Linked DNA regions of Cricetulus griseus. The protein of the gene in region 3 interacts with the protein of the main gene of each other region in a biochemical or structural test. Links are inferred from orthologs where the notes say so. Each region holds a gene or a part of one and is shown on either strand. Other genes may lie near its edges.

The links.
Region 1: the proteins of Rhoa (region 3) and Diaph1 form a complex in vitro, tested with the Homo sapiens proteins (2 studies listed by BioGRID and IntAct, with this or other methods). The link is inferred for Cricetulus griseus from reciprocal best matches to the Homo sapiens genes RHOA and DIAPH1.
Region 2: the proteins of Rhoa (region 3) and Pkn2 form a complex in vitro, tested with the Homo sapiens proteins (2 studies listed by BioGRID, with this or other methods). The link is inferred for Cricetulus griseus from reciprocal best matches to the Homo sapiens genes RHOA and PKN2.

Annotation. Positions count from the first base shown.
Region 1 is NC_048595.1:199,706,897-199,710,645, reverse strand, and holds the start of Diaph1 (protein diaphanous homolog 1), read right to left. Parts: upstream 2,324-3,749; coding exon 2,207-2,323; intron 1-2,206. UniProt on the Homo sapiens protein: Actin nucleation and elongation factor required for the assembly of F-actin structures, such as actin cables and stress fibers. Binds to the barbed end of the actin filament and slows down actin polymerization and depolymerization.
Region 2 is NW_023276806.1:16,327,670-16,331,318, forward strand, and holds part of Pkn2 (serine/threonine-protein kinase N2), read left to right. Parts: intron 1-943; coding exon 944-1,087; intron 1,088-1,402; coding exon 1,403-1,478; intron 1,479-2,144; coding exon 2,145-2,319; intron 2,320-2,539; coding exon 2,540-2,666; intron 2,667-3,129; coding exon 3,130-3,254; intron 3,255-3,332; coding exon 3,333-3,408; intron 3,409-3,484; coding exon 3,485-3,576; intron 3,577-3,649. UniProt on the Homo sapiens protein: PKC-related serine/threonine-protein kinase and Rho/Rac effector protein that participates in specific signal transduction responses in the cell.
Region 3 is NC_048597.1:216,485,540-216,489,233, reverse strand, and holds the start of Rhoa (transforming protein RhoA), read right to left. Parts: upstream 2,893-3,694; 5' UTR 2,751-2,892; intron 2,356-2,750; exon of another isoform or gene 2,218-2,355; intron 1-2,217. Other genes in the region: Tcta (T-cell leukemia translocation-altered gene protein), read left to right, coding at 3,365-3,587. UniProt on the Homo sapiens protein: Small GTPase which cycles between an active GTP-bound and an inactive GDP-bound state.

The DNA.
Region 1 (3,749 bases), on a different chromosome or scaffold from region 3:
GTTTTGAGATTGGTCTTAGCCAGTAGTTCAAGAAAACTGAGCCCTGGGTGACAAAAGCACCCCAGCAATCTCACCCACTCCACCCACTCACACACACTTATATATACAGAGACAAAGAGAAGTGGATTGCAATGCTCCTTGTCTCTCATTTTCATAGTTCTCATAAAAAGCAGTAAGAATATCCTGATGCCTTAAGGTAGATTATATTTAGCAATTAGGATGTGAAGAAGCCTGCTTCCCTGGAAACCTTCCAATCCTCACTACTTGCAATACCCAGTTCTTAAAATTCAGTAATGTAAGGGTTAAAACCAGAACCTCAGTAAAAGAGAAGTAGGTTCAGCTCCACCCTCTATAAAGCAAATTATCAACAACTCTGGGCCAAATCCACTCAGCGAACACAAAACTGTGCCAAAAAAACAGGTGGAAAGAAGTTGAGGTTCCTGGGATTTCTCACCTAACCACACACACCAGTAGATTTCACCAATTTTATGAGACACGGTATTAGAAAAAATAAAAAAGCACACATGAAACTTTAAAAAGAAACAGTAATAAGAGGTCACTACAAATCAGCAAAAATAGCCAGTATGGACGAAGGTCAAACAGTATCCATGGTAACAAAATCAAAACAAAAAGACACGGAAATAGAATACAGGCCCTAAAACTTACATTTTGGAAGGAAAGTTCTCAAACTGGAGGGTCAATTCCTACCTTTAAAGAAAGAACCTAAGGATATATTGCTGTGGTCACCTAGGATCCTATTTCTACAAAGGTATTTGCCAGATCAAACAGTTACTGACACCCTGTATGTCACTAGAAAGGACAGAACAGGAGCACCTGGTCTTGCCAGAAATAGGAAGAGATGAGTCAGTCACTCTTTTAATTCAACCCTCCAGGTCACAAAACATATTCTTCCCACTTCCATCACTTCATCAGTTTAATTCCCAAACTCGGGGACTTGGATCAGAATGCTGGGGGTGGGGGTGCGTGAAAGAAAGCAAGAGTTAAGAAGAATTCAAGCCATTTAGCTTCAGAGATTACTGGTGCTACCTGGAAGAGCAAACTAAGTATCTAGTTATTAACTGGCAACAACTGAGCAGAAACTCCCTTTTTGACTGCTCAGTATCTTTCAAAGTTTTTACAGGAAGAAGCAAAGTAGCTCCCTGGAGACAGAAGAGGATTTAGTTAGGAAAGGCAACAGGTAGTAAAATACCGCGTTACATGAACCTCGAAAGTCCCAATAACCGGCACCTAAGGAAAGATACATACTCTCCTACAGATAGGAAAGGGGATGTCAGGAACCTAGAGACACAGAAGATGGCCAAAGGCGAGTTAAGGAGATGGTTGTTATTTTTTAAAAGTATAAAAAGCAAATTACTCACAAACTTATTGGACTTGAAGTCTAACTCGTTCAAGAGGGAGATTAATCATCATCTCGGGTCATGAAGGGCATAGTATCGTGAAAAAAAGTTCTAAACCTCTGAAGTGATAAGCAACAGGGCAGTAAGAAACAGGTTTGTGGATAGGGAAATACTGGGAAGTCATATACTGCCATGCCCCAGTGACCACAGGACCTGGGCAGAACCCGTAATCACAAGGACAAACGTCCAAAGGAGGAGGGAAGACAGGACTCAAGTCAGGTAACATTCCTGCGGGGAAGCATTACCAGGTGACACCGGGCTGAGAGCCCTGGAAGGGGACAGGGCGGGAGGAAAGTTAGCAGGTGAAAGGGATCACTAGTAAGGAAGGAAATGACCTTTTAGAAGAAAGGGAATAACCCAAACGGGGTGTGAGTGAGAAGAGAAAATGGACCCAAAACAGCTTACAGGGAATCAAAAAGAAAAAAAAAAAAAGAAAAGAAATTTAGAGAAAAAAAAAAAGATGTGTGGGGGTACTAGAGGCAGAAGAAAGGAAGTGAGGCTGCGAGCCCGCGGGCCACGGGGGCGGGAGCGCAGAGCCGGCGGACTCCAGAGCGAGGGAAGCTCCAAGGTGGCCGAGGCGAGGGCCAGGTGGGACTCCCGGGCTTCCCGAGGTCCGGGAGGAGGAGAATGTGGGACCGCGAAGCCCAGGATTCAGCGAAACCAGGAAGAGAGGCGCGGGGGCGGCTCCCCAGCGGCAGGCAGACGCCCCCGGAGGGCAGCGAGGGTCGCCCGAGTTCAGAGGGCGGCCACCCCGCCAGGCTGAGGAGCAGGGTGGGAGGGACACTCACAAATTTCTTGGGTTTGCCGCCGTCGCCGCCCGTCGCGGGCAGCTCATCCGGGCTCCGACCCTTCTTCTTGTCCCGGGTCCCGCGGCCGGGCCCCAGGCCCCCGCCGGACGGCTCCATGTTCTGGTTAGCTCCGGCCAGGGACCCCTGGTCTACGCCACTCGCGCCCGGCTAGCCCGAGCCAGCAACCACCGCCGCCGCCCAGCAGCCTTCTTAGCCGGCCGCCGCGCCCCGCCTCATTAACATGCTGGGCTGCGCGCGCCTCATGAATATACAACGGTGACGCCTCGCTCCCGCCCGCCTGCCCCACTTCCGCCCGGACCCGCAGCCCCTACCAATGGGGCAGGGGAGGGGGGTGGAGGGACGCCGCGGAAGCGCGCTACCTGCCCGGCGGGCCTAACCATTCGGACCCACGTGGAGGGGGGGACGGAGAGTGGGCGGTGCTGCTCTTCCACACCGCAGCGGGGAGTGCTGCCCCCTGGCGGTTGGAACAGAGGAAGCCTTTGGGCTCCCACGCAGAGCTAGACCACCTCACACCCCAGGCCGAATTTCATTGTCTGAACCAAGACTCTTATCGTAGGAACACTGTTATTTTGGTTGAAAATTTAAGGCTAAGTTTTGTGGGATAATGCAACTTGTATGTATATGACACCAAGCAGTAAGTGCATTAAAAAATAATGTAAAAAATGAGTTACTTGATATAGAAACTATGTGCCAAGAACTGAGTTCAAGCCAGCGCCAATCTAGACCAGCTATGGAGTTACAATACTCAGCATTGAATCCTAGATTAGCTTTCTAGTTGTTTATGTAGACAGACTAATTATTGCCAATAGCCTAAGCAGCAATTAAATAGTTACTACATACCCAGCACAAACTATAGGACAGGTTATATGTTAAACATAACATCTTTCCTCACTGATTCCTCACAATTTCATGATAGACTCTACTGGTATCACCATTTAAGAAATTTGCACTCTGGACATTGAAGTGACTTGTAACATAATTGATAGAAAATTTACACACAGATTAATCTGACAGCCACACCATATTTTTAACCAAGATTCCCCCACAGGCATAAACCAAACGTGCCTGCATGAGTTCTCTGGTTATGGTCTTTACATGATCTCTCTCATTCTCCTGGCTATATCTACCTGACATGGCATCTTTAGAGAGGGACTGACTACCCCTTAAGAGTAAAGAAAAGGATTTCAAGTGTATATTCCCGAGTGTTGGGCCCCAGCCCCCATGGGGTCTCTGTGAGTTGCTTGTCAGCCAATAACCACAGGTACATCCTGTTTTCTAGTCCTGGCCTTGCCCTACTGGCATCAACCACACCTGGGAAAACATGAGCTCTTACACCTTGGGTTCTTCCACTGTGCTGTACATCTGTATATAAGGCTGTTCCCTCCCTGTAATAAAGAGACACACACACACATTCTCTTAGCACAAACGACTAGACATCTTGTCTTTCATTTAAATCTCCAGGCTTTTGGCTGATAATTTGACTTGCTGGTGGTGCAGGAGCCACACCTAACGACAGGTTCAG
Region 2 (3,649 bases), on a different chromosome or scaffold from region 3:
ACCTAAAGGGAAATACATTTGTATCTTATTGTGGGTAATCTGCATAATTCCTAAAAACAAAACTGGCACTTTCCAATTAAAATGTGCATAAATTATATTTCAAAAATCAGTTCATGACTTGATCCCAAAATACAAACTATTGTCTAAGGTATATTTAGTAGTAAGTTGTCAAAACCTTAAGTATGTTTTTATATGTAAACATTATTTTTAACGACCACAGTGTACTCTCTTATGTGGATGTGAAATCATATATACTTTACTTGTTCTTATGGTCTGGATATTCAAGTCATTACTAATTTTTTATATGTCTTTTTTAGATGATAGCAAATGAACATTTTTCTATAGGAAGCATGGGTTACTGTGCGATTAAGGAACCCCACCTTCCTAACACTTGACACAGAGTGAGTGCTGTGGTCACCAGCCTTACTGCCTTGTGGTAATCTTTTGAAAAGTCAATGACCTGATGTTCTTATAGTGTCCGGCACACATGAGTGCAGAAGGGAAGCCATTCCAGACCTTCTCTGGCCCTGTAGTGGGTGAAAGAAATGGGTGTTGACATGAGTTTCTGAGGGAGTCACTGGAGCATTCTAGCAGCAGGACAGCAGTCAACAGTATTTGGAGAAGAGAAACCTGAACTTAGACTGCAGTTCTAAGGGGGTGTGAAGTTTCTCTGGTTATTGATTGTTCTCAGTGTGTGTTCTGGCCTTGAACTTTAGGAATGCATTAGCAGAGATTATCTGAATATAAGTTTAAGTTAAAATTTGTAAGTTTGATAAAAGTGATATATAATTGAAAAAATTACAGTTTTATTTAAAGTGTGATTTGGGTGTGTACTTTGTTTACTGTATTTGTATTTCATATATTTTGTGATATTTTATTCAAGTGTGTGTCCAATGATGTCTTTTCTGTTTGTTTGTTTTGTTTTTTTTTTTGATTATCTTAGTCACGTGAACTGGAAATTTCAGTTTATTGGCGTGATTGGCGATCTCTGTGTGCTGTAAAATTTCTGAGGTTAGAAGATTTTTTAGACAACCAGCGGCATGGCATGTGTCTCTATTTGGAACCACAGGGTACTTTGTTTGCAGAGGTAATAAATGTATTTTATTTAATGCGCATAACTGTAGTAGAAATTGTGTGTGTCAGCAGCATGCTGTGGAAGGGGCAAGAGTGTTATGTCAAAAGATGAATGCCTTCAACTCTGCCACTCTGCTGCACATTAGGGGTGTGACCTTGAGAACAATCCTTTGTCCTCTCTAGGTCTGTGTTCTCGTCTGCAAAATGAAGGGGTTGGAGTAAGTTATAGATAATATACCCCTTAAGTTCTCAAACTTAGGAGTCTAGTAGATTGCACAAAACATAATCCTTACAGTTTTCATGTCAACTAGGGTTTTCTTCACTACAGGTTACCTTTTTTAATCCAGTTATTGAAAGAAGACCAAAACTCCAAAGACAAAAGAAAATTTTTTCAAAACAGCAAGGTAATTACTAAGAATATAATGCAGCCTTTTATAGAAAATCTAGCTGTCATTCTAAAAGGAATGGCATTTTCTTTTTAGTGTCCATTTCTAACATTTTTAAGTAGTTTTTAAATATAACCTTAATAATAGAATCCATTACTCCATTTCTTTGTTTTGTTTTATTTGGTTTTGAGACCATCTAGTAGCCTGTGTGACCTCGAATTATGCTGTCTGATCTAAACATGGTCTCACTGCCTTTGTCTCTCAAGTGCTTGGATTATAGGCATGCACCACCATGCCTGGCTTCATCACTGAGTTTCAGTAATAATAACACACGATTGTCCTCATTTCCCACCCACTCGCTGCTTTCTGAGCTTATTTGAAGCAAACTCAGATATCACTGAGTCCTGTTGTTCATTACCATAGATGCCTTAAACTAATGACACCAAACTTCTAGAGTTACAAAAAAAATCCAAACTTTATCTGCTTTTTAAAATTATTTGAGATATTTATGCTAACTTTTAATAAAAAAACAAAAGCTGAGAACTAGAGAACTAGTTTTTAAATTACAAAATTTATTTGTTCATAAATTATAAACTGATGAATATGGGTTTTTTTTAAATTATGGCTTTTGGTAATATATAAAGGAATTACATATCTTGCTTTCGTTATTCACTTTATCTACAGGCAAAACATTTCTCAGAGCTCCTCAAATGAATATTAATATTGCCACGTGGGGAAGGCTAGTGAGACGAGCTATTCCCACAGTAAATCATTCTGGCACATTCAGCCCTCAGACTCCTGTGCCTGCTACAGTACCCGTGGTTGATGCACGCATCTCTGAACTAGCACCTCCAGCCAGGTATATGTCTTAGAAGGCTTAAGTATGTCTTACACGGCCATTACCGTGACACCATAACATGATTACAGCAGCTGCTATATGAAGTCCCAGTCTTTTCCAAGTAGAATTGTGAAAATACTGCACTACTTGTTTAAAAGAAGTTAGTTTGCTTTTATTTTGCAGCTACTTAAAAATAAAGACTTTGATTGCTGTTTTGGTAAATTGCTTTGTCTTCTGAAAGTGATTCTACAGTAACCAAATTGGACTTTGATCTTGAACCTGAACCTCCTCCAGCCCCACCACGTGCGTCTTCCCTTGGAGAGATAGATGAGTCTTCCGAAGTGAGAGTTTTGGATATACCTGGACAGGCAAGTATTCTAACCCTTCCTTCTGCAATGCCTTCTTAACAGTATCAGCATCGTAGTGACAAAAGTGTACATTTCAATTAAAATTGCCAATATGAACTCTGAGTTTAGTGTTTTGTTTTGGTTGTTGTTATTGTTGTTTTGAGTGGGGGGTTGTTTGGTTTTTTATGAGTAAATTTTCTCAAGGAGATGAAGTTGATGGGAGTTGGCCACTTTCTTCATGTTGGAACACTGTTACTAGCCTCTGTATTCTCACAGGCCAAAGGGGATGCAATAAGCTGCATAAATTGGAAGATAATATGTTGTTTTTTTCATGGTTTTGTTTTTTCTATAAGAACAACTAACCAAGTCTGAAACTTCTTCTCTAATGCTTTTGGAATTGTTTCTTAAACTTTATGATTATGAAATAATGTTTGTTTGTTTTGCTGGAGATTCCTCTAGCTTATGAGCACTTGATATTTTACAGAGTTCAAAAACTGTTTTTGATATTGAGAATGACAGAAGTAACATGCGTCCAAAATCCAAATCTGAATATGAGCTTGACATTCCTGACTCAGGTCAAAGTTGTTGGAGTGTCCGAGAGGAACAAAGGTAAGGCACAAGCAGGTGCATTGCCTTGCTGATGTAGTTCTTCTGTAGTTGCCTCACTTTTAATTATTACTATTTTAGATCTCAACCAAGGTTTCAGTTCAATCTGCAAGACTTCAGGTGCTGTGCTGTGCTGGGAAGAGGACATTTTGGAAAGGTAATCCATGAAAATTTAGGAGTACATACAAGATTGGTAAGTCAAATGAAAATTAATTATTTTAATCTTATTTCAGGTGCTGTTGGCTGAATATAAGCACACAAATGAAATGTTTGCTATAAAAGCCTTAAAGAAGGGAGACATTGTGGCTCGAGACGAAGTAGACAGGTCAGTTTTGTAAAATGAAAGTTTTTTTTTTTTTTTTTTTTGAGGTGAGAGATAGAGTGAACAACAATAAATG
Region 3 (3,694 bases):
ACATAACTAATGCTTTGGAGCAACATCTGAGTTCTACTGGGTAGAAACATAAAGAGGAGAGAAGAACATTACTAGGAACTTTTTTTTTGAGACAGGATTTTGTTATATAGCCCAGGCGGGCCTCAAATTAACAATCCTACCTCCTGGAGTACTGCAATTATAGGTTTCTCACCTCACCTACTTCCAGTTTTTAAATTCAGCATTTGTACACAGCATGCCATCATTGCTAGCAGTTATAACGCCATGGAACCAAATGTACTGTCTACAGAACCCACTAATCTCAAGTCAGTCTTGCAACAAGGTTAGCCAATCTCTCAAGGTTAACCTCCTCCTCCTCCTACTTCCACCCCACCCCATGGACTAAGAAACACCTGAACATTTTACTCTTCTAAAAATTTACACCGCTAATAGAGAGGATGGGCTGTTAAAAGGATTAATGATGAACAAAGAATAAGGACTATGAAAACACTCCAACAAAACCATTCTCACACACTGCACAGACCACTGCTTATGTATGTGATTTGTGCATTCTCACCAGTTCAAGTTAAAATCTAGTCAAAGGGGCTATAGTAGCCTGAAGACATTCTAGGGGGACCTCATTATGTTGTCTTTGTTAACAGTCAACTCCCAGAGGCTGGGTCCTCAAGAAAATCAACAAACTCAAAGACAAGGCTAAGCCAGAAAAGGGCTATGTACAAAAACTAGAAATTTAGACGGGCATTGGTGGCGCTCGCCTTTAACCCCAGCACTCAGGAGGCAGAGGCAGGCGGATCTCTGTGAGTTCGAGACCAGCCTGGTCTACAAGAGCTAGTTCCAGGACAGCCTCCAAAGCCACAGAGAAACCCTGTCTCCAAAAACCAAAAAAACCCCAAAAAACTAGAAATTTGTTTGGCAAGTGAACTGACCAGATTCTCCCTAAATACGCACAATCTGCAAGGTGAAGAACAGCAAGAGAGTAATCAGGAACCCTGATTTTAGCCGAGAGTACACGGAGGACTTTTTTTTTCAGATAGAAAAGTAGTTTTAGTCTAACTAGACATATGACCTTCAAAATTTTTAACGCTCACCAGGAACGGTGGTACACATCCCAGCACTATTCAGAAGGCAGAAGCAGGACAGCTAGATCTACAAATCAAGTTCCAGCGCTCAAGTCAGACTCTGTGTCCATTTCTCTTAAGTAGTAGGCAGGGGTCTCTCCCACTGTTCTCTCTGCAGAGTGCTAATAAACCTTTCTCTTGAAAAAAGTCCCTGAACTCAGTCTCCACGCCTACAAATGGAGTCAGCCTATAAATCCTTTAAATCTTTTCCAGTCTATATGGGGGAAAGTTGGCAGATTTTCCTTCTCCAGGAGATTTCTGGGTAGCGGCATTGTAAGTTGAACACTTGACTTTTGACTCAGTTAGTTATAGGGCTGGAATAAAGCTCAGAGATATAGCACCTGCTCACTATGCCCCAAGCCCTGAGTTTAATTTCAAGCACCAAAGAGAAAAAAAAAATAAAATAGAAAACACAAGCTCTCTATATATTTTATGCCCCTAAGAAACACCTAAGTAGACAAATTCTCACAATAGTTCTGAGAGCCTTCAATAGTAAGACCTAGCCTTGTATTTTAAGTTAACAAGGATACTTGTGTTAAATGTTCCAGACAGTATCACTACCAAGATAACCATGTGGATGGTGAGAAACCATCCACACGGTACATTCACACTTGGACATGTGACACTTAATGGCTGAAAATTCTCACCACATACTACATTGAGTTTCCCATCCCTCCAGGTTTGCCAGAGGAATATAATCTGGTTATATATAACCTGCAAAACAACACTTATTTCAAAAGAATGTCAGAAGACAGAAAGAACCATATGAATAACCAACAGAGGTTAAAATTCTTAGTGAGGACTATTAGAAAATACAAGTAGAACCAATTGTGGGACAAAAAAAAAAAGATGCCAATTTCCCACTTTATGCTACTAAACAAATCAAAAAAACAAAAACAAACAAAAAATATTTGGGTGCAAAAAGTACAATTTCAAGAAAACGACCTGAAAAGGGAACCCATCTGTAAGTGATTCCTAATTAAAGCAGTAACTTTAAGTAGAAATGCATCTATATCGATGCAACCTCTCCAAATTATTTTTACAATGTTTTTTCAACTGGAAAATACCTTCCCCCCATACAGTCTTCACCGCTAAGATTTCAAAACAATCATTTACTTACACAATCTCTAAGAATACGGCATTGAAAACAGAAAATCCACCCAAAGCCTCACTGTCTTCACCCGGTATAAAACGGTGATTAATGATCCACATTCAATGTAAAAGGCAAAATGGAGTTGTAAAAGAGTTTCTTGCCTATTCCAACTCCCGACACCACGCGCGCTTCACAGTGGCAGACTCCCCCAGCGCGGTCGCGGGCCGGCCGGGAGCCCCCGCCCAGCCCGGCGCAGCCCTGAGAGGAAGCGACGGGGAGGGCGGGCGGCTAGGGCTCCACCAGGCCCGGCCGGGCGGGGGAAGGGGGACTGGAGGCGGCGGGGCGCGCTTCGGGGACTGCGCGGGGCGGGCGGGGCCGCCGCCTCGGGCGCGGGGCCCCGGTCAGGGGGGGCCAGGGCTGCCGGCCGAGAGCAGCAGGTGGGGCGCGCCCGCGACTGGGGGACGGCGGGTGCCGGAAAGTGCCGGGCGGGCGGGCGGCGGCGGCGGCCGGCCGGCCGGGCCCCCGGAGCCGAGGCGGCTGGAGGGAATGCTTCTGCTCACCTCAAGGCGACCACTCCAAGTCCGGCCTCTTCGCGCCGAGGACGCCTGTCCGCGAGTCCGCAAGCTCGGAGACGAGGACCGGCAGCTCCGCGGAAGACGGCGGACTCAGCAGAGAACCGACGGAGGACCGCGGGCGGCGGGCGGCGGGCGGGGAGCGCGAGCGAACGAGGGCGGGCGGTGGCGGGAGGGCGGGGAGCGACGTGCGCGCCCCCGAGCGCCCTGCGGGCTCGAGCTGGCGCCAGTCGCGGCCCCGCGCACGCGCGCACTCTCGCAGTTCGTCCACGATTGCTCAAGAGCGCAACCACGCCCTAAAAGCAAGACGCTTAACCAATCATTGCGGCCGCGTGGAGCATCACGGGAACTCCGGGGCTATAAAAGACCAAGTTGCTATTTTATACTCACCGATTCACTCATCCTTTAAGTAGCAGGGCGGGGATGGGTGCGCCTGCGCGGTTTTAAAGCCCTGCCCCAAACTGCCAACACTTCGCGCAAGCGAAGTAGATCGTCTTTGCCCGACATTACGCGTGCGCACCTACTTCTCTAACCCCGGAAGACCGTGCGCTTGCGCAGTGAGAACTACGGTGACAGTACACCCGGTGGGGCGCTGGCCAGTCATGGCGGAACCTTGGTCTGGGCAGTTTTTGCAAGCTCTGCCCGCGTCGGTGCTCGGAGCGCTGGGCACCCTGGGCAGCGAATTCCTGCGGGAGTGGGAGACACAAGACATGCGAGTGACTCTCTTCAAGCTGCTCCTGCTGTGGTTGGTGTTAAGTCTCCTGGGCATCCAGCTGGCGTGGGGGTTCTACGGGAACACAGTGACCGGGTTGTATCACCGTCCAGGTGAGGCTCCCTACGAACCTCCTTGGCCTGGCTGCCCCTACCACCACCAAGCTATACCACTTGTTTCTCCTGTGTCCGCGTAGACTGCCACTGGTCTCCCAGAAGCC